Oreochromis niloticus: one gene and its partner. The protein of the gene in region 2 interacts with the protein of the main gene of each other region in a pairwise test. Links are inferred from orthologs where the notes say so. Each region holds a gene or a part of one and is shown on either strand. Other genes may lie near its edges.

Evidence for each region.
Region 1: the proteins of srebf2 (region 2) and nfyc interact in binary tests that used the Homo sapiens proteins (3 or more experiments, as listed by UniProt). The link is inferred for Oreochromis niloticus from reciprocal best matches to the Homo sapiens genes SREBF2 and NFYC.

What each region holds. Positions count from the first base shown.
Region 1 is NC_031985.2:22,025,159-22,037,596, reverse strand, and holds the start of nfyc (nuclear transcription factor Y subunit gamma), read left to right. Parts: upstream 1-6,679; 5' UTR 6,680-6,828; intron 6,829-9,805; exon of another isoform or gene 9,806-9,920; intron 9,921-10,133; exon of another isoform or gene 10,134-10,884; intron 10,885-12,172; exon of another isoform or gene 12,173-12,383; intron 12,384-12,438. Other genes in the region: uncharacterized protein si:ch211-13c6.2, read left to right, coding at 1,578-1,676, 1,771-1,910, 2,010-2,129, 2,248-2,293, 2,411-3,326, 3,423-3,531, 3,611-3,676, 3,797-3,898 and 2 more. UniProt on the Homo sapiens protein: Component of the sequence-specific heterotrimeric transcription factor (NF-Y) which specifically recognizes a 5'-CCAAT-3' box motif found in the promoters of its target genes.
Region 2 is NC_031969.2:10,061,263-10,073,201, forward strand, and holds the start of srebf2 (sterol regulatory element-binding protein 2), read left to right. Parts: upstream 1-6,427; 5' UTR 6,428-6,691; coding exon 6,692-6,782; intron 6,783-10,933; coding exon 10,934-11,319; intron 11,320-11,510; coding exon 11,511-11,703; intron 11,704-11,787; coding exon 11,788-11,939. Other genes in the region: uncharacterized protein LOC100696172, read left to right, coding at 2,623-4,059.

The DNA of each region.
Region 1 (12,438 bases), on a different chromosome or scaffold from region 2:
GGGAATGCAAGAGAGACATCAGCATATGTGGGGGAAAAAAACAGAATAAATGGAAGTGTTACCTGTTTCCAACACAGAGGAAAATATATCTGAGCTGTGGCAGCTGCAATGTGTCTACATCTGTTAACAGGACCCGTGACAAGGTGGATGTAGCAAGGAAACAAACAATGAAGATTTTGCAGCTGTACATTGTTGCCCTTGAGTCAGTAGGTATTATCGTACAGCCTTCATGCATCAAACTTGATGTCCTACCCATGCTTATTAGATCACTGCCGCAGAGCGTGTTGGTGCCTCAAGCGATTAAAGCTCCTGCCGCTCGTGTCCCAAGAATGAACCCTGTTTCAAAGCCACTTTGATGTTTTGCACTTGCCATTGTGATTCAAAAACAGAACCAACTGGGCCTGCGTTTGTATACGTGCCGCCGAGCGTGACTGGATGCTATTTACCATGAAGTGCACTTGTAGAAGCATCTGCATTTTCTCCGCTCATTTAAGTTTTTCTTTTCCTTTCTGGATCTTTGCAGTTTTGGCCAAATTTGGCTGCATTAAAAGCCTTTTTGTGATTTAATTATGGTGTTACATGATCAGCTGCTGAAATGGATGTGTAGCATTTTCGTATCAAGATCAGAAAAAATACTGTACTGCTCTTAAACCACACACGGCTACTAAAATGCAGCTTTTCCAGTGTTGCTCTTCAAGCAACAGCTGCAGCTTGTTGGAAATCTTCACAACTTCTAAAAATGTCAGTCAAACGAGCTGTTTGCACAAAATTAGATGGCACTGGCCAGCCTGTGCCTGTATGACTCCCTCAAAATCCACTCTGACTAAATTTAGCAACTATACATATGTATTCAGTTATTCTAGTGGCAGGACATCTGTGGGTGCACTAATACTCCACACTCAGATGATGAAAGGCATAAGTAAACATCTCTGCAGATCTGTCCAGAGTTTGGTGTAACTGTCTTTTATAAAGGAACATGTTGTACAAGTATGCACTTTAATAACTTGGTTTTATTTATGCCCTTTGCACAAGTAAATTAAACATTTACACTATTATTGGGATTTTTTTTATACAATAATATTGGGATATTGTAAAAAAAAAAAATAATAAAAAAATTCTTATTTGGTAATATAGGTACCATTAGAGTTCAGATGTTTTTTGCTAATAAATCCATTATGCCACACAAGGTACATGTTTCAGAAAATCATGGGAACAATTTTTTTTTCCTCGTCTGATGACATTCAAAAAGCAACATGAAAAAAATAAAATGTCTGGACTGGAAGTTCTACTGGAGCTCATACATTAGATGATAGTATATCAGAAATCTACGATAGTTAAGATCTAAGCTGAAGATTTTATACCATTCAGCTGCAGCTACAGTACACCAGGCCTTGTCTTATAATCACTTATAATCTTCCCTTACCCCTGTTAACCCTTAATAAAGACTCACCCTCTAATAAGGAGTTTAAATTGAAGCAGTTAGTCACCACCAGTTAGTATTGCTCTGTCTTATTGCTATACTGTGATGATGACTTTTAAAAACACTGTGTAGTTTTTTTCTTTTTGCTAACTATCAGCATGTGGCTTCCCAGGACGGTCTGTCAGAAGACACGTACCGGAGTTTAAGGATATTATAGAGTACCTGGATTACCTGAATCTGGATGAGCCTATCATTGGTGAATAACTTTGCAGAAAGTTTTAAGCAGATGTTTTTTTAAAATACCAGATTATTTGATTGTTTTTAACTTTTTGTTTGTTCTTAATTTCCAGGTTTGAACTTTTTGGAAGAGGGGCCTCCTAGTGACCGACAAATAGGCCCCAAATACTTATGTAAGCTCTGTAATCAGTCAGCTGTCCTTGCAGAAATGGTCTGTCATGTGATTGGACGCAAACACAGGCAGAAATATGTGGTAAAGCATTCAGAGCATTACTTAAAACCTTCTTTGTTATTCTGTTTTCCTTTATAATAAGATGTTAAAGCAAAGAGAGATCACATTCCCTTTCTGTAGGAATTGAAGCGGCCTGACTTGGTGACCTGGGATAGACCCTCTGTACAAACCCTCGGGGGGAAGATCATGCGCGCCAAAGCAGAAATAATAGAGAGACAGGATGGTAGAGGGACTCCAAAGGTATGCCAGATGAATTACCCAAATTACACACCATATTTTACATTCTTCTAAAATTCTATACATTTTGTTACATACAGTAAATGTTTATTATTCTTGTTTTGTTCTTGTTTTTTTTCAGTCATTGTTCAAAAAGGGGAACGAGAGTAGATCAAACAGCTCAAGAGGTAACTTGATTGATATTAAACATGGTTAAAAAGTAATTTTAAAATACAAGGAAAGGTTACAGACACATTGGGAAAACGTTTGGTTGTATTTTTCTCTAATTATTACTTGATTATTAGCTTTCCAAAGGCAGAGGCAAAACAGGGAGCAGACGAACCCACAAGATTTGCCACCACTCCTACCCGAACTCAAGGACTATCACCGAAGGAAGCATGCCTCAAGTTACCCAAACGCATCTGCATTTCCTCCGAATGAACCTAACATGAACGTAGACAGGCGCAGCCAGCGGGAGAACAGGCTTAGCAATGAGCGCACCAGAGATGAACCGCGAAGGTCGGATTTCAGGGAAGGCCATGCGTACAGAGAAGGCTACATGGACTCTGATTATCGTCATCAGTATGAAGAGGGATATGGTGGAGATTCACAAAGAAGTTTGGCACTTGAGCGAGGTGATGCTCCCAAGTATGATTTTAGGGAGGATTTGCCTCGTGGCCTTGGTCAGTCTGACTATTACCCTGAGGGGGCACCTCCTTATAGAAGAGCCTATCCAGAAAGAGAGTCTGTTCAGGATTTCCACTCTGAGGATGTCAGGGGTGGGAACGGTCGTTCTGAGTATTCACCCTCCCAGGCCATGTACCCTGAAGGTGATAAACTGCGGTGGTCCCTGGAGAGGGAAGCTGATAGGCACGACGGTATGAACAAAGCAGGTAGACAGGGATCAAGTGAACCAGAAGCCAGGAGGAGGAACTTCTCTCCATCTATGGAGGGGGACCGATCACGTGACAATTTGTTCAATATAATTCAAGATTATCGTCATGAGTTGAGAGAGGCGCATCAAGATGAGGCAGTTGATAGGAGAGCTGGAGGCCCAGCCTCACAGAGACACATGGATGTTGGCAGAACCATTTCTAACATCCCAGAGCCATTCAGGCGGTTCCTGAAAGGAGGCGCCGAAGATGATGTTCACGGTAAAAGGAAAAGAAAGAGCCGCTTCTCTGATGCTACTCCAGAGGAAGTGGAAGGGACAAGGGAAATGTAAGTGTAAAAATTGTAGTTGTTTTTTTTTTTTGGAAAGTGTTGTGGGCTGCTTTTATTTATTTTTTTTTTTACATGTGTGATTGCTGCTTTCAGGTATGGGGATAATTATGGATCTCCAAATCCAAAGTTTGGAGGTGACGCAAGGCCAGGTAGTGCACCAATGAGTGGAGGACAATTTTCAGACCTCTACAGAGAACCACAGGTAGTTTATTTTAACATCACAGTAGAGTAATGTCCAGTAAAACAAATCTTTATTGACGCAAGACCTTTTGCTTTTTTAGGGTCCACATCATCCTGAAATGAACCAAAGAGGAGGCTCTGAGTCGGAGGGCGTCTTTGATATGCTGGTAAGATAATTAGTCGTTATTGGCGACTTGCACATGTTTGTGAGTCATGTTTTTGTTATGCAACTATTCACTCAGTTCTCAGTGTGTTGTTTTTTTTTTTCCCCTTTCACATTTTCTTAGAGCAACATTGAAATTGAGAATGCTGAAGAGGCTGACTTCTTGAAAAGTAAACTTTGCAACCTGCTTAAAGAATTCAAAACGAAAAAGATGGAGAAAGCTGTGGTATGAGTCATTCTGCACACCGCCTGTCTTTTTAATATAATATTAGTAAAAGAACACAAAGACTTTGCTTATATTAACAAAACGTTTGGTTTTGTCATGGTAGCAGAACAGCCACGGTCGAGAAGGGATCCCCAGAAACTACAGCAACATGGAGCTGGACCCTCGACAGCCGCCGTTCGAGAGGAACATGAGAGATGATTCGCACCACAGACAGTCAGAAGACCTCGACTTCAGAGACTGGAGGCAGCGTGAGCATCTTCCAGAGGAGCGGCACAATGTTTATCCCCCCCCTGCACACGAAGATTCCAGATACTCAAAAAGAGGCCGCTTTGAAGGTATAGTACATCACAGTGCAGTTTATTTAAACCCATTAGGGTTCAATAGTCTTATATAAAAGTTAGAGATATCAATAAAAATAACACAAGCATAATTTTCTTGAAAAATATTAGGCAAAAATAAGTATGGTAGGTTTTAAATCAATATACAGCTCAAAATAAAGGCAGACAGTAGAAGGCCACTCAGTAGTTGCTTCTTTAAAGACCCTTTCATCCATTAGTAGAGCTGCTTGTACCAGAAAGGTAGGGTAGATCAGTTTCTATAATACCTGCAAAGTTTTCCCTAATGTTCAACTCAGCAAGGCTCTCAGTTCATCCAAACCAGAGCTTCGACCAGCTGACGTAATTTTCTCCATGGTATCCCTCGGGTGATCTGTGGGATTTGGGTCAGGGCTCTGGGAGGGCCCCTCTATTAGAAAATATTCTTTCAGCAGGCAGCTGGTAGGCTGTGAATTATTGTCCTGCTGAAAGATCCTCTTCTGTGGCTTAAATCATCATTTGGCTGCTTTTTTCATTTCAAAATCCTTTCTATATCTCATCAGTTAAAAACGAATTTATCTGCTCAGTTGCAGGCTGTGATGTTCCCAGCTCTGTGCTTTCAAGTCAGTTCCACATGAACATGTGTCTGTAGCAGAATAACCACAGGTATAGTTCATCACATTAACAACAGGCATGGTTCAGGTCTGATAAACAGGAGAGGGAGGGGTATAATCACGCCTTTTGTCTGGAATTGTGCTGTATGTGTTGTTGTATGGATCGAATGCCAATTTATTGACGTATTAATAAAATAACCTTATGAACTTTGAGGTTTAAATGAAAATTGATGGGATTTTCTTCTTTGAATGTATTTTGAGTTTTGTTGTGGTATCTTTTAGGATAGTTTAGTTCAATTTATGTATAATGAGGCATAGTTTGCAAAGGTGTCTAAATTCACCTTTTGATTTTATGTAATAAATGAATTTGATTGCATCGTTAAATAAGATAATAAACAATAAGTTGTATATTCAGCTTCCCTGTGTCAGAGGAAGTGTGCCTGATTCCACTTTCTTTCATGTAATTCAATTTCATTCCTCTTTTTGTTTTTGTTTTTTGTTTTTTCAGAGGAATCTGGAGCTCCTCATACAAACTGCTTAGATGAGCCGCCCTATTATCCTGAAAGGTTTCCAGAATCCCTGCCGTCTCGTGACTACCAGCCTCCTGTTGGAGAGTTTTTCGACTCTCACTCTTCTGCACCTCCCCTCCACATGGAACAAGAATCCAGGATGCCCAGAGGACCCCGGTACTCTAACAACCTGGACAAAATCACCTCCGCCCTCCTGGAACTTGTGGCAAGGAAATAAATGTCATCACTGCAATCTCCATAATAGTCATGTATTATAATGCAGTGTTTTAAGGGTAAAGCTTAGATTTTAAAATGTGATTTGGGTTTAAATTTCTTTCCCTTCATTTTTCTTTCTTTCTGTTTTTTTTTTTTTTTGTTGTTGTTTGTGTTGGATATTTGCAAAGACCTTGGTTGATCAAATGTTGACGTCTGGTGTAAGAATTAAAACACTTGTCTACTGCAGTTGTAATCATTTCATTTTTTTCAAATTCCTTACTGACCAGCAGCCAGAAAAGTAATACTCTTATTGCCATCATTGTATTTCATATTTTCAGTGAATTTATTTTGAATTAACTGAATTAATTTGCAATGATTTGAGCTTCGTGGTGCTTTGTCATGCTGGCTGCAGCCATTAGAAGATGGGAACACTGGTTATAAAGGGAAGGGCTTTCATATTTATGCCAAATTCTGAACCTACCATCTGAATGTTGCAGCAGAAAATGAGACTCTGAGGAAAACACTGACTGGTCTACAATCTTCTGTTGCCCAATTTTGCTTAGCCTGGGCAAATTGTAGCCTCAGTTTCCTGTTCTTAGCTGAGACAAGTGGCACCCAATGTGATCTTCTGCAGCTAAAGCTCATCTACTTCAAGGTTGGACGTGTTGTGCATTAAGAAATACGCTGCTGCATAATTTGTGTTTAATGAGTGGTTATTTGAGTGACTGATGCCTTCCTCTAAGCTTGAAACAGTCTGTTCTCTGACCACTGACATCAACAAGGCATTTTCTCTCAGAGAACTCACTGGATCTATATATTTTTTGGTTGACTGTGAAGATCTCAGTTGATCAGCAGTTTCTGAAGTATTCAGACCAGCAACCATGCCTCATTCAAAGTCAATGAAATCACCTTTTTCCCCATTCCAGTGCTCAGTTTGAACTTCAGCGGTTCATATATAATGCATATATGCTGTATATATCTGTGTATGTATATATAAAATGTATTTGTTTTTTCCAAGTCACTTTGCTAATTTTACTATAAATGAGGACTTGGAGATATATAGACTACCTGAGCAATTAACTGTTTAGTGAATCAAATAATAATAAAAAACAAACAAACAAAAAACCTCACACTGACGCTTTCTCGGGGAACGTAACCTCTACGTCATCGCGTTGGACTCTTTCCGGTTCGAATAGCAGCCATCTTGTTTCCCCTTGCAGGCTAAATAAAATAAATAATACGCTGAGCTGGACTTCACTTCGAACCCGATAAAGAAAGTGAGTAAGAAATTAAAATTCATTTATCTGTGGAGTGTTTACATGAAAGTTGTCCGTGTTGGCTGGAGGTAGCTGTAATTACTTCGCTTCTTTTCATTTGCTGTTCTTGACCAATAGACGATTGTTTTGGAAGATGAACATAGGCGCCATTTCCCTCCCCGCTCTCTGAGGCGCTTATTGGTGGCCCGCTGAAAGGATCACGGACGCTCAGGAAACTGATGTTTTGTGTCCACCATTTTGGCTCATATCTGAGCGACTGTCAGACACACTGGCTATTTGCGCCTGACCCCGAATGGCGCCAGTTGCAGAACGAACTTAGCCCTAAAAACCTTGATTGGTGGAATCTAGTCCGAGGTTTGATTGGTCTGAAGGACAGATCCAAACGTTGTCTTTATTGGTTAGACTGTTTCTTCCTAGCATTGCAAACCTTTGCAAACTTTCATATGTTGGCAGGGCTCGCTGTCAGCTGGTAATTAAAATTACACACGCTGAGCTGTACAGCTCTCATCAGTCTGCATCCCCAGCCAGCTAACATTAACTCCACTAACGTTAGCATAAAGTCACGGTCAGCAGTGACCATCCTATTAGCTAGTATGCTGTATGTGTCTTCCTACGCCTGCTCCGTTAAGCATTTCACAGTGGGTACCACAGCACTACAGTGCATCTCAGTATTTTGTAGTTTATTTAGCATCCTTTGTGTGACGAATATATACCGGCTTCCGTATGCTAGCGTTGAATATAGCATTGAATTCCCTGGCTCCTTTTAGCCGCTGTGTTGAACCCAAACACCTTATAATGTAGCGACTATTTAAAGTCAACCTCCGTGCTAAATGCTGGGGTGTTAAAGCGCAAAGCTGCTCTACTCCTCGTGTGAATTCCCTGTGATGACTATATCATGCCTTTGTTTAAACTATTCATTACTTGGAAAAAAAAAATCTTGCACACAATGTTTAATTAATGAATACAGCTGTATTTTCAACCATACTAACCAAAGTCACACAACATGAAGATGCACCAAGTTAATATTTAGTTTAGTTATGCTTTAAACCTAACAGATATTCACCCCATTCTTACTACGACCTGTGTGCAGAAAACAATACAGTCTCTTTGTTGTGTTCCCACGAATATAAGAACTTAATAAAGAATAGGAGAGCTTAATCAGCTCTTATCAGCGGGACAAAAACGGTGTGCAACTTAGTATACTTTATCTCTCTAGAGGAGGTATGCTTTACGTCATCATTTGTGTGTAGGTTTAATTGAGCAGTTGAGGTCATATTTAAAAAGCCTGGGATATTAGAGCACCTTAGACAGCTTAAGTAAGCTGTGTGCAAGTCGCCCAGCTTACCATGTCGTTTTGCAGGTGTTCATGTGTTTTTCCATGTTTGCAGGTGAATGCATGGCTTGGCCTGGCTACCCTCAGGGTAGCTGCTGTGTTTATGAAACCCAACGTCTGGTTGGTGCATGTTTATCTCTAAACAGCGTCAGAGAAAGCAAACATGTTCCTGCTATGGGCAGTACAGGTCATGGGAAGGTCTCATTTCTGTGGTGACCTTGCCAGGTGTCATTACTGAGGCATTTTGGGTAGACTGAATGCAGCTACAGAGAGCTGTTCGAGCATGGCAACAGCAGTGGAGAGATTAGTCTTTGTGCAGCTCTGCTCTAATCATTAACTGGATGTCTGTAGTACCTGCTCTAGTCCCCATGCTCCTCACAAAAATAGTAAAGGGAACATTTAGCTTTGTTTCTCTTGAGTCTATCTTGTGCTCTCGCCCTCCCTCCACTTGTTCTACCCCTCCCTTCCTGTAGCAGCTCTCCTCTCTGTCCTTCTCCATCCTTCCGGTCCCCACTCCACCCCCCACCCCGGTTTTTCATTGATAGGGCAGTTTATTATCTTTCCTTGACTCTTGTGTAGCTGGATGTGTTCCTCTCTACAGTCTGTATTTTTTATTTTTTTATTAAAGCTTAACCTTCGGGCTGCACCGCCACTTGGTCGTATCTCAGCAGTTTACTCTCTAAGCTTTTAACAGGTTTGCCCATTAGAAGTAGAAGCATTCACGTCGTAGGTGGTGCATTAAACATCATGAGATGTGCACATGAGTACTAAAATCACTCTCTTGAGTTGCACACTAAAGGTTTTTGTGTCGAAAGTATGCACATTTAAGCAATGGAGAATTAACAAGAAGGACATTGTGTGACATTGCTGACGTGGTTTTTTTTGATGACGTTTCCATTGTGGAAGTTGCTGTGAGCACAGTTTTTGGGGTCAAGACAACATTGTCTTTGTTTATGGGTTTTCACCCATATCTCTTAAGTCTTGTTTATCCACAAATAGGATGAGAGTCAAATGAACTCTTTCTTTTTTTCTTTTTCTTTTTTCTCTCTGCCTTCTTCCACAACTGCTATCTAGTCAGCTGATTGTTCCATTTTGTACAAAGGCTCTCTATTGATTTGTTTTGCACAGAATAGTTTATTGTGTATATTTGATTGACACTGTGTAGGGTGTCATGGGATTTATAGTGGTTGCATTAAGTTGCCTCACTAAATGTTCACATGAGTCAAAAAATTTGTTGAATGGAGTTTGTCTAGCTAATTAATATTCTGAATACATAATGCATGACCAAGCATCTAGATATATTTGTTCCTCTGTTTGAATAATATTAAGAGTGATGTGAATCTCATTGTTAGAGGTAGGCTGGCTGGAGGCTAGATGTTTTCGGTGTGTACCTGTGACTGTGAGCAAGGATAACTGAGAATGCAAGGACAAAATGTGCATGTGTGTGGGTGTGCATGTAAGACCGTGCACAGGTATGAGACAGGGAGTCTGCTTAGTATGCTTTTGTACTTTAAATCATGTGGATGCAACATGCGGCATCAATTCTGGCACTTGGTTCAGCCAATAAGGTGCCCGCATAGCTGCCTGCATCACATTGCCGTCAGCCTGTACAAGCAGAGCGCAGGCGGGGCTTAGGGAGACATTTAGTTTGACATTGTAAATAAGCAGAGACCAGTTGTCAGAGAGCAGCCCGTGGAAGCTTTCTCATCCGTCCAGCAGCAGGAGAAGTAGAGACCGCTTGAGGACAGACAATGGCAAGGCAAGCCACAACCAGCACACCCTCACGCACTCCCTACAGAGCTTTCCACAACTTTATCTGCTCTTTTTCACCTATTCTCATGTCTACTCTCTTCCTCTTTTCTTTTCCCTGACCCCTATCCTGCAGCTCAAGGTAACTTAGAGCAGGAAGTTGGCTGTCGGTAAAAGGGGGTTGGGCAGAGGAAAGAGGAGGAGCAGGGGATTTGTCAGAGCTGATTGGTGTGTGTGGCTACCAATAGTGTATGAGGACACAGTCGTCTCATTGGTTTCGAGTATCGGAGTGAGGTGGGAGCTGGCTGCGAGGCGGGGTTTGAGTATCATGTAGCATGCTAGATTGATTACTCTTGAATGTTAAAGGGGAAGGAGGCTAGAAATTTTTGTCTGTGAGTCGGGAGTGCCGCTGTACTATTTGCCTGCTGTTGCGCTGTTGCCTGCCGCTGTGCTGGTCCTTCTATTCCTTCTCACCTTCTTCTCTGCACCAGGCCAGGGGTCACCTCAAAGACAAACACATGGGTCGCCGGCTAGAGAGGAGGAGGAGGAGGGTTAGGGAGCAGAAAGGAGGAGAAAGAGAGAGAAGGTCAGCGAGTTGAAGGGACTTGGGCTGAAGAGAAACAGCAGAGACGGGGTTGTATGTCTAGGTTGGAAGAGGACATTGGGAGGCTGTTGAAGGAGACGGGGCAATGTGTAAAGGCAGAGTGGGGGAGAGAGAGAAAAGAGGGAGGGGTGGAAGAAGGGGGGGGCTCGCTCTTCGCTCTGTGTCCGGGCTTAAAGCCTTTTTAAAGCCAGCCAGAGTGCCTTTTGTCTGTTGATACGATCAGGGGGACTGAAGGAAGTGAAGGAGCACGAGAGTTTTTCTGTCAACCTCTGTGCTGCCTCTGCTGCTGCTTTCAAGGAGACTTGGACAGGGCTATCTGTTTCTCTCTATTCTGCTGTGCTCCAGGCCGTTCACCATGAAGGGCACAGGGGTAAGTCTGACAGCTGAACACATACACAGCGAGAAGACCTTAAGTTGTCTTTGTTTTTTGTTTTTTTGTTTTTTTTTAAAAACGTCCACTTTTGGATGTTTCTCCATCTCTCTGCAACGATGAGATGTCTGTCCTTTACCGCCATCCTCACCCCTCCCCCTCCCATTCCTTCCCCCTCCCCTCACCTGTCCTGTAGTTCTCACCTTGGGAGATTGGTGTTGTGCAATTTGTGTATTTACGTGCATGGCTGTCATCTACGTCCTTCATTTGTCATTTCAGTGCTATATGGTTTTACAGAATGGTGTTCATAAAATAATCCAGCTGTTTTGCATTATGTTTTCATTGTCGAATTTCACTTTGCATTATTACACTGTCTTTGGATGTCACTTGTTTTGACTTTGGACCAGTGTGCACACACAAACACGCTTCAGCACGCACTCAGTGCCCCGTTATCGACTGCATAGAAGTGCACGGCAGCCAGATACTGACTTTGTGCTTAGATGCACTCTGCTGTTTCAGTGGTGTCCTTGGGGTCGCTGGCCAAGACCCCACTTTTTCTCCTAATGTCCCAATTAACATTTTCGTGGCAGATGGTGGCGCAGAGTTCAGCAGCAAAGAAGACATCCATGTTAAAAGAAGATTTGCTGTATATGTGGAGAGGATATCTCTGAGTTGTTGTCACTGTTGGCGTCAGTAGTCCCCAGGGGTGGAGGTGCAGCTGGTTGCAGTGACCTCAGGACCCCCCAGGCCCCTCACCATGACAGTGCCAGACACCCAGATGGGACAGACTGTCAGCCTGTCAGCTTCAGGGGCAGAGGAGGCTAATAGTTTGATCTGATCTCTTCTGATGGAATCTGTGTAGGGTGCCTCTTCTCTCACTGTGCCTCTGACTCCGTTCCTCTCTCCTCCTTTTCTCCCTAATTGAAAGTTTCCATTGGTGCCTTTGACAAAACAAAGTCCCGTTGGGGAAAGAGAGCGAGCGAGCGAGCGAGGGAGATTGAGAGAGGGAGACTAAAAATAACTCTTAAGTTGAAGCCCTCGCTGCCAAATCCCAGGGTTGGCTGCTGTCTGCATGAGATTTGAATATCATTTGTACCCTACGCCGAACCATAGGCACACCAGGGCAGGAAAAAGTAAACGGAACACGCAAACCTCTTGCACATAGCTAGGCCTTTGCGCTCATCACTAAGGTGACCACAGCAACTGTAGGTTTACTCTTTTGTTCAAGCCCCCACTGTGCTCTTACATGTGTACACTTTCACTAAAGACAGTGTGTGTCTGCACCCAGGGGGAGTCGGCCTTATCCCAGCTTGTAATATGCAGGTGCCTTTAGCCCTGCCTACTTTGACGCCAGAGACTGGGCCTAGCATTGGATGAAGGTCACAGGAATGTGAGATTGACTCCTGCAGTCTCTCCAACCGCACCGAGAGGGAAACATGCAGAGGGAAGGAGAGGCCCAAGAAGAAGTGAAATTAAAAGCGGGATGCAGAGCACAGCTAGTATGTACATTATGTGGTGTTTTCATTAGGCTTCTTAGAAAGTACACAGCCTGAA
Region 2 (11,939 bases):
TGTGACAGGAGGGGGTTAGTCCACATCTGGGAAAAGCCTGAGCTGCTGTACATCAGCAGTTCTTTAGAATTTGGGGGGAAGGAAAAAATAACTAGATAAATAACTCTCTGGAGATGAAGTTAAGGCAAACTCATTTTTGATAACTTGAAGATTATGTAACTGAACTTTGGGATATTAATTCATTTTAGTCTAATCGTTTTTCTTCAGAACTTTGCGAAGCCCCCGCTGTACTGTGTCTGGTCTCGGTTTAATGTGTCTAAAATCCCATACGCTTCAAGTAGGTGCGATTGCCAAATTTGACCTTATGGAAATGTGGCATGTTTATGGTTGGGTTAGGCTCGACCGCTGATTGAATATTATTTCTAAGAGCTGTTGAATTTCCCAAAGGATGTTTGTGAATAGGCAGATTTACATTCCCACTGCTGCTCAGAATTAATAAGGAGACATAATTATGTTGCGTTTGCCTGAAGGATGCCGTAATGACAAAGATGGGTTCATTTTTATGTCTGCTATTTTATTTCCATCTGAGGGACTCATTTGAGAATTTTTTTTTTTAATTGACCATATAGTTTTTTCTGCCTTAATGAGCCTTCACATTATTTTTATCCTGTCAACCGGAAATACAACATGTGACCATTCATCTAGAAGTCCCTCGTCTTTAACCTTTTTTCCATATTTTTTTCCCTTCCTTTTTAAATTGACACGTTTTGTGGATTCAGAGCTACACAATTGAGAGTGATGTAATTTTCATATAGTAATAATGACTGTTATGAAAACTATATGTATATTCAGAGAAAAATATCATTGCTGCAGAATGAACAAGCCATTTTGTTAACACGTGTAATGAAATAAAGTGACTCTGATACATAAGGAAGAAAATTATATATATATATATCAATATATAGATATATATTATATTTGTACTTCATGTGGCTTCATAGTGTAGGGATGTCAATCTCATTTTACATTGTGGGCCACGCACAGCCCTCTTTGACCATAAATGGGCCGGACCAGTGAAAGTACAAAATAAATAATACAAGTAAAATTACAGAAAACGCTCTGGTAGTTCATTACACAGACTGTCCCTGTACTTATATAATATAAAGGTTTTGTTAATTCACAAAAAATGTCTCTCTTTTTTTTTACTGTGTCATTTACCTGTCATTTAATTGTTTATCTGTTTATTAATTACTCTTATTATGAATGGCAACTGGGCTGAGCAGTCTTTATCAATAGGAAAAACTGTAACACAAACTCTATACAAAGAATCAGGGCTTTATATGTGACAACTCTACACTTTGGGGTTTGCACATTTGCATAATAACAAACAAAAGGTTACCGGTTCGAGCCCGGAAAGACACGCAGATCTCTTGTGATTGTGTCAGGATGGGGGTTAGAAAAAAGAAGTAATCTTCCAAATCATACATGTGAATATGAGAGCGGCTGAAAGCAGCCCCCTCTGTGCTCCACAGACCTGCTACATTTGTTTTGTTGAGCAGATGAACCGACAGAGGGCAGGAAACCGTCAAAGACACAAAGTCCAGTGTTTGCATTTCATATGCGGGCTGAACAGTTTGACTTCAGCCCATCTGTGGCCGCATGTAGAGGATGAAGGGCAAGCTGGCATGCAGAGAAGAAACGGCTTTTTAGTCTCTCTGCGAAATGTTTCATCATTTGGACTCTGGTAAGATCATACTTTGATGTTTCTGTCAAAAGTTAGCGACTTGCTAACGAAAGCTAAGCTAAAGCCGTTAACGTGCTAAGGCCGAATTATTAGCAGGCAGTATAATTAACGACATTAAAGCGTGAGCTCTTCATTCGACATTTGATGTTTACTTTCAGGGTATGTTGTCACTGGGTGGTGTTAAAGTTAGACACTTAATTTAACCACCTAGTGGATGTTGCTAGCTTCGCGTCCCTCTTGCTTGTAGCTAACCTATTGATGTTTTGTTTATGTGCAAGAAGCTTCCTGATGCTCTCACTTTACAAAGCTCATTACATTGCTGTTATCTTTCCCAAAGACACAAAGTGGAGATAATACAAGCCTTGGCTGCTGTCTGCTTTTTCACTGGCCATTACATTTGTAGTGAACATTTAAAAAAAAATAAAAATAAAGTAGTCTGAACGTTAACGCCAAATTTTTTCTGCTCCTAATGTTCTGTTAGAAGACAGGGAGGGGAACAAGGAACCAGTACACATGGAGTGTGAGAAGGAAGGAGTCGACTCTGAGACCAGGTGGGGCGAAGAGCTCAGACTGGTCCTCATTGGAAAGACCGGATCTGGCAAGAGTGCATCTGGGAACACCATCCTGGGCCGCAGGCAGTTCCTGTCACAGGTCAGCGCCAGCTCTGTCACTCAGATTTGCGAGATGGGAAGCACTGAGCTCGCTGAAGAAGATGGCCGGGCCGTCCCACAGAGGAGAGTGAGGCGAATCATGGTTGTTGACATGCCAGGTTTTGGAGACACTCACCTCAGTGTGGAGCAGATTCACGCAGAGATTGCCAAATGTGTCTCTCTCTCTGCCCCTGGCCCCCACGCTTTCCTCCTTGTGGTGCCAATAGGACGATACACAGACAACGAGAACCAGGCTGTTTGTGAGCTGGCCAAGATATTTGGGGGAGGATGCTGTATTTCACCATACAGTGGTTCTTTTTACCAGGGGGGGATGACCTAGAGGGCATGGTGATAGAAGAATATCTGAAAATGACTGCACCTCCTGGGCTGAGGGCTCTGATAGACAAGTGTGGGGGTAGGTACCATGTTCTCAACAACAAAGACCCCAGTAACACAGCACAAGTTAAAGAGCTCTTGGTGAAGGTAGACAGCATGGTGAGGCAGAGTAACGGAGGGTTTTATACTAACACCATGTTTTTAGAGGCAGAGGCTGCAATCCGGGAGGAGCAGGATAGGATGTTGGGAGAGCGAGGGCAAGCAGAGGGTGAAGACCAAGAAGGAAGTAACTGCAGAACTGAAGAGGAGGCTAAACTTGCAAAAAGAAGAAAATGTGATTTAGAGTCTGACATAGCAGGAAGCAGCGAGAGAGGATTACAAGAGCTCCAGAGGAAAGGGGTAGAAAGAGGAAGTGAAGATGATCTAAGGGTGGAGAAATGGGCAAAGGAGAGCAGAAGCAGTCCCTTCAGCCTGCTGAGAGACCAGATCAGAGGCCGACATCGGGGCCAAGGCAGAGCTGTCAGCCGGCGGCCATCTGTCCGGTCATCACTGATTCGTTTCAGGAGGGAAGCCGCGCTCTCTCCCAAGGTGCTGGAGAGAGTTAAGGTCCTGGTGGCTGCTGGAGCCACTGGCATGGCAGTTGGGGCAGTTTTCGGAGCGGCTGCCCCTTTGGCAGCTGCAGCTGGGGCATCTCTTGCTGGGAACTCGATTGGTTTTGCTGCAGCTCAGTTAGCTGGGATGTCCGTGGCGGGAGGCTCGGGTGTGGGGAATGCCGTGGGCGCCATAGTGGCGGCAGCCTCGGGGAAAACTGCAGTGGCTCTGGGCGCAGCAACAGGTGGAGTTCTGGGTAGTTCTGTGGGAGCCATTGCTAGCGCTGAGGCTTCCAGTCCTGCAGAAGGTGCTTTAGATGCCCTCACCCAGGTTAGCATCATAGGGGCCACTGCAGTCGGGGTGGCGGCCGGTGTGGGATGCACCATGGCAGGTGGGGCTGCTTTAGGAGCAGCTCTGGAGGGAGCAGCTGCCCTCGGTGGAGCTGAAACTGCAGCAGCAGCAGGAGTAGCTCAGGGTAGTTTAGCGTCAGCAGCCGCTGGGACTCCTCAGTGTGCTGCTGCCTTAGCTCAGGAAGTGGCCGCTGGTGCTGCATGTGGGGTAACAGGACCCAGTGTGGCAACAGCAGCCAGCAGGGTTGCATCAGACCCGTGGGGCACCATGTCGGCAACAGCACGCATCCTGAGCGCGGTGGCCGAAATTGGCAAAGCTGCAGCCGGCATCGCCCTCGCTGGTGGTCTGGTGGTGAAGGTGGTGAAGGAAAAAGTGAGAAGCGGCACAGGAACGACGGAGGCTTCCTACTCAGAGAAGAAGTCTTATGAAATCTACTGGAACAAATAAATACAGGCTGAGCGTAGAGTCCAAATCCAGGATGTAAGAGATGTATTTTTCCACCTTCACAATAAACACCACACAACACAGTAACTTACTGCAGTGAGGGATATTTTTACATGGTTGTAAATGATCAAAGATGCACTGCTAGCAACAACATCTGTGTAATAAAGTTGTATGCAGTATTAATATGAAGCCACTTTATGAGGAAAAGGTAGAATCTCTCAATCTAAATGTTGGTTCAAGCCGAAGCTGAATAATCCATGACATTTGCACTTGTGTGGGATGACTGAAAGGCATATTAGATGGGTGTTGATTCTGCTGTTTCTTATTTTTAAACATGTTAGAAGGTTGTGATGCATTTCAGTGCTGGTTGGTATTTAAACACACCTTAGTCCTTGAGCACACATCATACTTAAAAAAAATTTTTTTACAGTGAGTATAATAAACAGAAAAAAGTGTTTGCCATGCCAAATATGTATATGAACAAAGTGGACTAATGACGTATTGAAAAGTTTCCATCCTGAATGATTTGCAGTGATTGGCTGGTTTTATTGCACTGTTTAACATCATGTAATAATTAAACCAGGAGAGTTATACAGTTATGTATTAACACAGGTAAAACATATGCTGCAAATGAGTTAGCAGTTCATTCATGTGTTTTTGCAGTGAAATAAAGAAAATACAAATATTGTTGCAAGAACTAACGTTTTTGGCTTCTTTTTTCCTTGTGGAATTATATTGGTGTTATCTTTTTGAACACCACACATGGCAGTATAATCAACTATGGTTCTCCATTTGAAGAATTCTGAAACACATTAAGTAACAATGATCATGCTTAGAATTAAGATCTGTGCCATTTTAAATGTATAGATTTGATGACTTTGTTAGGTACACTAATACCTGGTTGGAAGCCCTTTTGCCTTCAGAGCTGACTTAATTTTTCCTGGCATGGATTCAACAACAACGTCCCAAAGATGCTCTGTTGGACTGACGTCTTGTGACCGTGGAGGCCATTTGAGTACAGTGAACTCATGTTCAAGAAACCAGTTTGAGATGATGTCAGCTTTATGGGTATGTTATCCTGTGAGAAGCAACCATCAGAAGATGGGTACACTGTAGTTATAACTGGATGGGCATGATCAGCAACAATACTCAGGTAGGCTGTGGTGTGATGGTCAGTTGGTACTAAGGGGACCAAAGTGAACCAAGAAAATACCCCCCATATCATTAAACCACCACCACATAATACAGGGCAGGATAGATCCATACTTTTCATGTTCACGCCAAATTTGAACCATACCATCTGAACGTGCCAGCAGAAAGACCCGTCAGACTATATAAAATTTTTCAAGTTTTCTGTTGAGCAGTTTGGGTGAGCCCATGTAAAGTGTTGCCACAGTTTCAGCTGACAGGATGAGCACCCAGTCTGGTCTTCTGCTGCCCATCTACTTCAAGGTTCAACGTATATTTAGCAATGCTGTTCTGCATACCTTGGCTTATTTTGCCTTCCTTTCTAAAGAACTCTGGCCATTGTCCTCTGACCTCTGACATGAAAAAGTTATTTTTACTCACCGAACTTCCGCTCACTTTTCTGTTTTTCAGAGAATTCTCTCTGGAGATGGTTGTCTGTGGGAAATCCCTGTAGATCAGCAGTTGCTAAAACACACAGCGCAGCCCATCTGCCACCAAGTTTATGCCAATAACCTTAAAGCCACTTAAACTCCCATATTTCTCCATGTTTCTGGTGCTCAGTTTGAACTTCAGCAGGTCGACCTTATCCACATGCCTAATGTAGATCTCTGTATCTCATTGTACAACTGTATAGTGACAATAAAGGCATTCTATTCTATTCTATTCTAAATGTGATTGATTACCTACCTAATAAAGTCGCAGGTGACTATAGATGGGTAGCTCAACTGTAGTTCTTTCATTTTTATTAACACAGTATCATACAATTTTTATGCTTAAAAAGTAAAACTTGGAGTATATGCCATTAACCTTTTTTGTCTATAACACAACTTGTAATCTTTGATGGGTTAAAAGGTAAACAATAAATAAGATAGTATTAATCCGTACGCTGGAAAACATGCTTAAGAAACGAGTGAAACTGTTAAAACGTGTATTTTTGCGAATGACTGCAGAATGACTGTGTGTGTTTATCGCCGTCATCTTTTCCAAGGAGCAGCATTTGTCCACCGAGGTCGGGTTCTTTTCATGAAGGTAGGGGGAGCGGTTTATTCAAATGACACCCAAGCTTCTGATGGTTGACGTACTATCAGACCACGGCGAATACTGGCCTGTCATTGGACGATGATGACTGGTCTCATGACAAGAACGGACAGGTCTCAGCCAATCAGATCCCGCTATGGGCCACGGAGTCTGTTTGTGAATGACGTAATGAGCGTGAAACAAGATGGCGTCGCCTCAAACATAAATTGATGCCAATGAGTTTATCGGTGTAGAAGTGCTCCTCTCTTGGGGCTTCTGTGTTGTTTTGGGGTTGTTCAGGTGAAAGGACATATTCCGCGGTCAGTTAGGTGTGTGGTAGGCGTTGCCGAACGCCCACGGAGGAGCTCGTGGACCTTGTTTGTTTTGTCCCTCCGGTGACAACCGGAGAGGAGAGCTGCTGACAGATAGGATGGACAGCGGGGAGTATATCTCCACCATGGAGAACATGGACCCGACTTTAGCGGAATTAGGGGACGAATTCACCTTGGGAGACATTGACGGTGAGTGACCGTGTCACTGTTTAAAAAAAATTAGGAAGGGTAAGCTGTGTTTCACGAGTGTTGGCCTGTTTCCGTTTAGCCCGACAGCTGTTCTTCCTGCCGAGCGGAAGGAGATGAGCAGCTCTGGCTCTTAATTCTTGCGACAATGTTTAAGTATTCAAGATACCGCTCAGGAAAAAAGAGAGCACTTATATTTAGTAGTCCTCGAATGCTCTGTTATTTTGGCATTATCGTTGTGTATTTTCTTCTGTTTGTTTCTCTAATCCCCCCCACACACACAAAAAAAAGACAAAAAAAAACAAAACAATCACACAAACAATTAACCTAAACTAAAAGATGAAGAAGTGATACTGTTGTTGTCTTGACTCCTCCATAAGAAGTGTCAGTTACTTTCTGACCTTCTTCTTGTTCTTGAAGGAAGCTTTTCCTCCTACTTGAGCATCTTTTTGCTTCTGCAGACCTAATTGAGCATCATCTGTGGGACAACATCTCTGTCAAAAATAAATAAATAAATAAATAAAACAGATTGCGTTTTGCAGTCTGTGGGCCTGTACCCTGTGAACAAACAGCATCCTTGTTCCAACTTCCCTGTTATCAAAACATGTTTCACCCTTTGGCACACAGTGAAAGGATGGGGGCTTTTGGTGTGAGGCTGGCCAACGCAGAGTCACCAGATTTTTATTAGGGTGGAATTTTACTGAATGCTAACCCACCAGACCGGATTGATACACGTGTGTGTGTGTGTGTGTGTGTGTGTGTGTGTGTGTCGCACAGTATGGGATGAATTGGTTGTGTTAGGTTTAAATTAGTCATCAGCATACAACCAACCAAAGTGCTCTGAGATCATGCAAAGCCCAATAAAGATTACTATGTTTTGTTTTTTTTAAAGCAGTATGCTCTACTGCTTGTATGTTTAATTTGTTGTTTGTGATTGTACAAAAACCTTTTTCAATAAAAAGACTTTGATTAAAAAAAGATTACTATGCATGGGTTTGAAAACCTACCTGCCGGTGGCATCTGGTGTTAATTCTCTGTGGTGAACAGCCCATGTCACAGCTATTTAATCTCACTTAATCAATGTGTCAAAAGAAGAATGTGCAGATTGTGTGAAAGTCAAATGACTGTTGAGGTTTGACTGATCCTAACTTGACTTTTGCTTCACTCAGTGCATTTTGCCTGCAGCTATTTGGGGGAAAAATGCAGGTTTCCCATGAGGAAAAGCATTTAACTGCTGCAAATTCAGATTAGTCACGAGCTTTTCTTTTGTGCATTTGACTCCGTATTAATGTCGAATATTCTTGCTTTTCCAATTATTCACTTAACAACTGCTGCTCTGCTTATGTAACTTATTTTCTCTGCTCTCAGCAGCCCACAAAATTGTCCCCCACTACACCCTCACCCTCGCCCTGTACCCCCATTTAATGGATTTACCCTTTGTTTCGGAGTCTCTGTCTGAAGCTCCAGGGGCTCAGAGTTGCTTTGTTCTGTCAGCCACTGTAACCCCCTCCCCTCGAGGTGTTGAAGTGTGCGAGTGCCCTACTGTAAGTGTAAATTCGACTGGATGGTTGGTAGAAACGCTCCTGAGAGGAAGCCCATTTAGTGTTCCTGTGGTGCGGCTTATTTGAAATCACGTCCTGCGCTCCTCTGGGCTCACTTTTCAAAGCAAGCCTCAAAGTGTTTCCCTTTTATTGGTTTTGAAAGTGGTCATCACTGTTTCTTTACCTCTGTGTCAACACAGGTCACATGCAGACTTCAGTCATGGCTATGAGTGCATGAATTACTGGCCTTGACCTCTCTGCTGCTAGTGTTGGACTGTTGATCTCTTTTTTTACAGCTTGAGATTTTGCAGCAGTAGAAATGCAGATATGATATATGATCCAAGATGAGATCTGAACACAGATGAGTTTGTTTTAAAGACTTGTTGGATTTCAATTCATCTCTGGAGTTGGCAACCCGGCACACTGATGAGAACGAACGCCTTTTATTGTTTTTGTACGCTGCACTGAAATGCAGCGAGTGATCAAAGACAAAGCTGACAGGATGCTGGCTTCTTTTCCAAACATATCTGAGAACCTTTTGGTGTTTTAAAAAGTTTGTGAGTTTTCCTTCTTCGCTTTGCAGCTTCAAGCATCTATTCTTGTACCCCAGTGCTTTTTGTGTTGCGTTTGTTTCGAACATTACATCATTAAAGTAGAAATACAAAATGTCCTGCAGCGATATTGTGCTAAAAAAAATGTAGGAACCTTATCTAGAAGTCAAATCACCAAAAAAGGAAGCAGTAACTTTATTGCAGGCATAAAAGATGCAGAACATGTTTCACTGCGCTGGGATTGATAAAGGGTCTTATAGTACTGTATTACACAGTCGCCTTGTATTTTCCTGATGCCAAAAAAATCACTCATTAATGCAGGAAAAATTCACTCACTTTGAGGCTGCAAAGTAGTGACTGTAGTTAACTTTAACATGTGGCTTGCAGGGCTTCTTAGGTGTATTGATATGTGGTGTCCAAGGGTTGTGCGCTTAGTGATTTAACACTTGACAAAAAGTTCTTTGTGTCTTTTGTATTGCCTGATTTCTCCGCCTCACATTAAGATAAAGTTCAAGGTTACAGGCTCAGCTTATTGACGCTGCGCTGACCCTGAGAGCTAAGGGCATAGGCACTATCAGTGACATAAGCAGGCAAGCTTCAACCACATGGGATACGTCAAAAGTGTTTTCAGTTCCAAAGTCCTGTGAGAAATTCTGCAAAGCGTGCACTAATCAATTCTTTTCTCTGGTCCCAGTGATATTTCATAATATCGTTGTCTTTTTTTGGAAGGGGATTCATTTTAGAAACTTTAACCTTCAAATTACTAAAGTAAATAATACTTAGCAAGACAGTCATTTGAACCAACACGGTGATTCCAAAAGAGTCAATAGCAACAGCAGTACCATCAGATTTGATCCACCATACAGTAACATCTGGAAATTATCTTATTGGCAGCAACTTCATTTTCCAGCATCCACACAGTGATCCCAAACACAATGCCAACCCAGTAAAAGCATGCCTGGATAGAAAAACACACAATGGAGCGCAGTCAGTGATGGATTGGCCTCCCCAGATCCCAGAACCCAACATTATTGAAGTGGCATGGGATCATCCTGACAGAGGACAGAACAAAAGGCAGCCAACATGCAAACAAGACCTTTGAATGTCCTTCAAGAAGTCTGGAGTATTCCTGAAGATTACTTGATAGGTGCCTAAGAGAGATCAGGCTGCCAGTCATACCAAATATTGACTCTCAGGCTTGTTACAAGTGTAGAAAAGCTCACTTTGCCCTAAATACTGTATTTGTGTGCATGTTTGCCCAAGTTTTGATAAATAGCTGCACATATTACCCATTTTTCTAGCAAAATATAAAGAAATGAGTGGTGGTTCAAGACTTTGGCACAGTACTGCATTTGACAAGAATGTGCTGGGAACATATTGCAAGAGGCTGTGATATGATTATATAAGTGTATTGATATTTTGTCTCAACACTATTTCTATCAGTGATTTTTGCAAACGAAATGTCAAAAAAATGCTTAATATTTTACCTCATACTTAAACCTCATATACAAAAAAACATTCCCAAAAATAATCAAGACATTAAGTTGATCATTGTTTCCTAATAAAACCTCTCCTCACGAGGAGGCAGTTTGTTTTAGATTTAGTACGATGGGTCTAATGAACTGGCAACTAAGTGCATATTGTCATGTTGCCAAACCACGAGGACCAGCATACACACTGTCAGTGAGTGGGTGAGTGAGTGGGTGGGGGGCATGTATCTGTCTATCACGCCTTTCAGAGCTGCTCGATTCTTCATCTAAGTGTTCTTTACTCTTTCTGCCAATCTCTTTTGTAGCATCAATTGAGATTACATCAAACTTCTTCAAGGCCTTCTGTTTGAAGGTTTCTTTATACTGATTTATGACCAGAACAGTAGCTGTGCTTGTGTGGATATCTGTCAATTCAAGGTCAGGTCTTGAAGTTTCTGTTCATATCTTTGGCTGATCTACACTGAAGCAACCTGCACGAGGCCTCACTTACAGAGGAGACTTGCAGAGATGTTCAGATACACCTCAGATGATGTTTTTGACTTCTTGTCTGTTTACTTTCTCCCTATTTTCAGAGATGCTGCAGTTTGTCAGCAATCAGGTGGGGGACTTCCCAGACTTGTTCGATGATCAGATGAACTCAGCAGGCTCTCTGCAGAGTGGTGGAGTCGCCTCCACCCCACGGCCTCAACCTCAAATTGCTCAGACGCCCCAGACACCGCAGCCCTCAACCAATGCTGCCTACCAGAGCTCCAACGCTTGCTTCACCTCCTCCCAGACACTGTCCCCACATTCAGTACCCCTCACCCCTCCCCTCACTCCCGCACAAACCCCCTCCCCCCCAGCCAGTGCTTCAGTGCAGCAACAGGTGACCCGCAGCCCTCCACTCCTTCAACCAAGGCCTCAGATGGTCCAACCCATCCAGCCTCAACCCCAACAGACAGCCCAGACAACCATCCAGGTACAGATTTACCTGACGCTTTCTCACACGCTACTCGTACAGTCCTATTAGGAGTGGAGAAAGCTGTAGTCTGACTGTTACAGTGATGGACTAGTGCTGCAGTGGTGCTTCTGCTGACATAAAAACATTTTCTGACTGCTTAAAGACTGTAACAGATAAACAAAAATCTGTTTTTCTGTTTTTGAATGTAGATGCACACCCAGGGGATCCCCATGCAGACTCAAAGCTTCCCAGTTCACACCCTGGTTCAGACCCACAGCCAAACACCGATGCCCATACAGACACAAGCAACCCAGACAGTGATGATTGCCTCCAATGGCGGACAGTCCCGCTTCATTCAGAACCCTGTCATTTGCCAGCAGAGCCCTACTGCGGGCTTCCAAGGTGAGTACAGAGCAGGGAATGCAATTTAATTTGGCTTTTTATTTTTCCTAAATCTCTTTTTTGTTTTCTCTCTCATTACTCCAGTCCTCCAGCCACAAGTGCAGAGCATCATGACGTCACCCCAGCTTCAGCCAGTGGCCATTCAGCACCAGCGTGTTCTGACCCCAACAGGTCAAACCATCCAGACCATCTCCACAGCGCCCACTGCAGTCCACACTGTGCAACAGCAGGTGCAA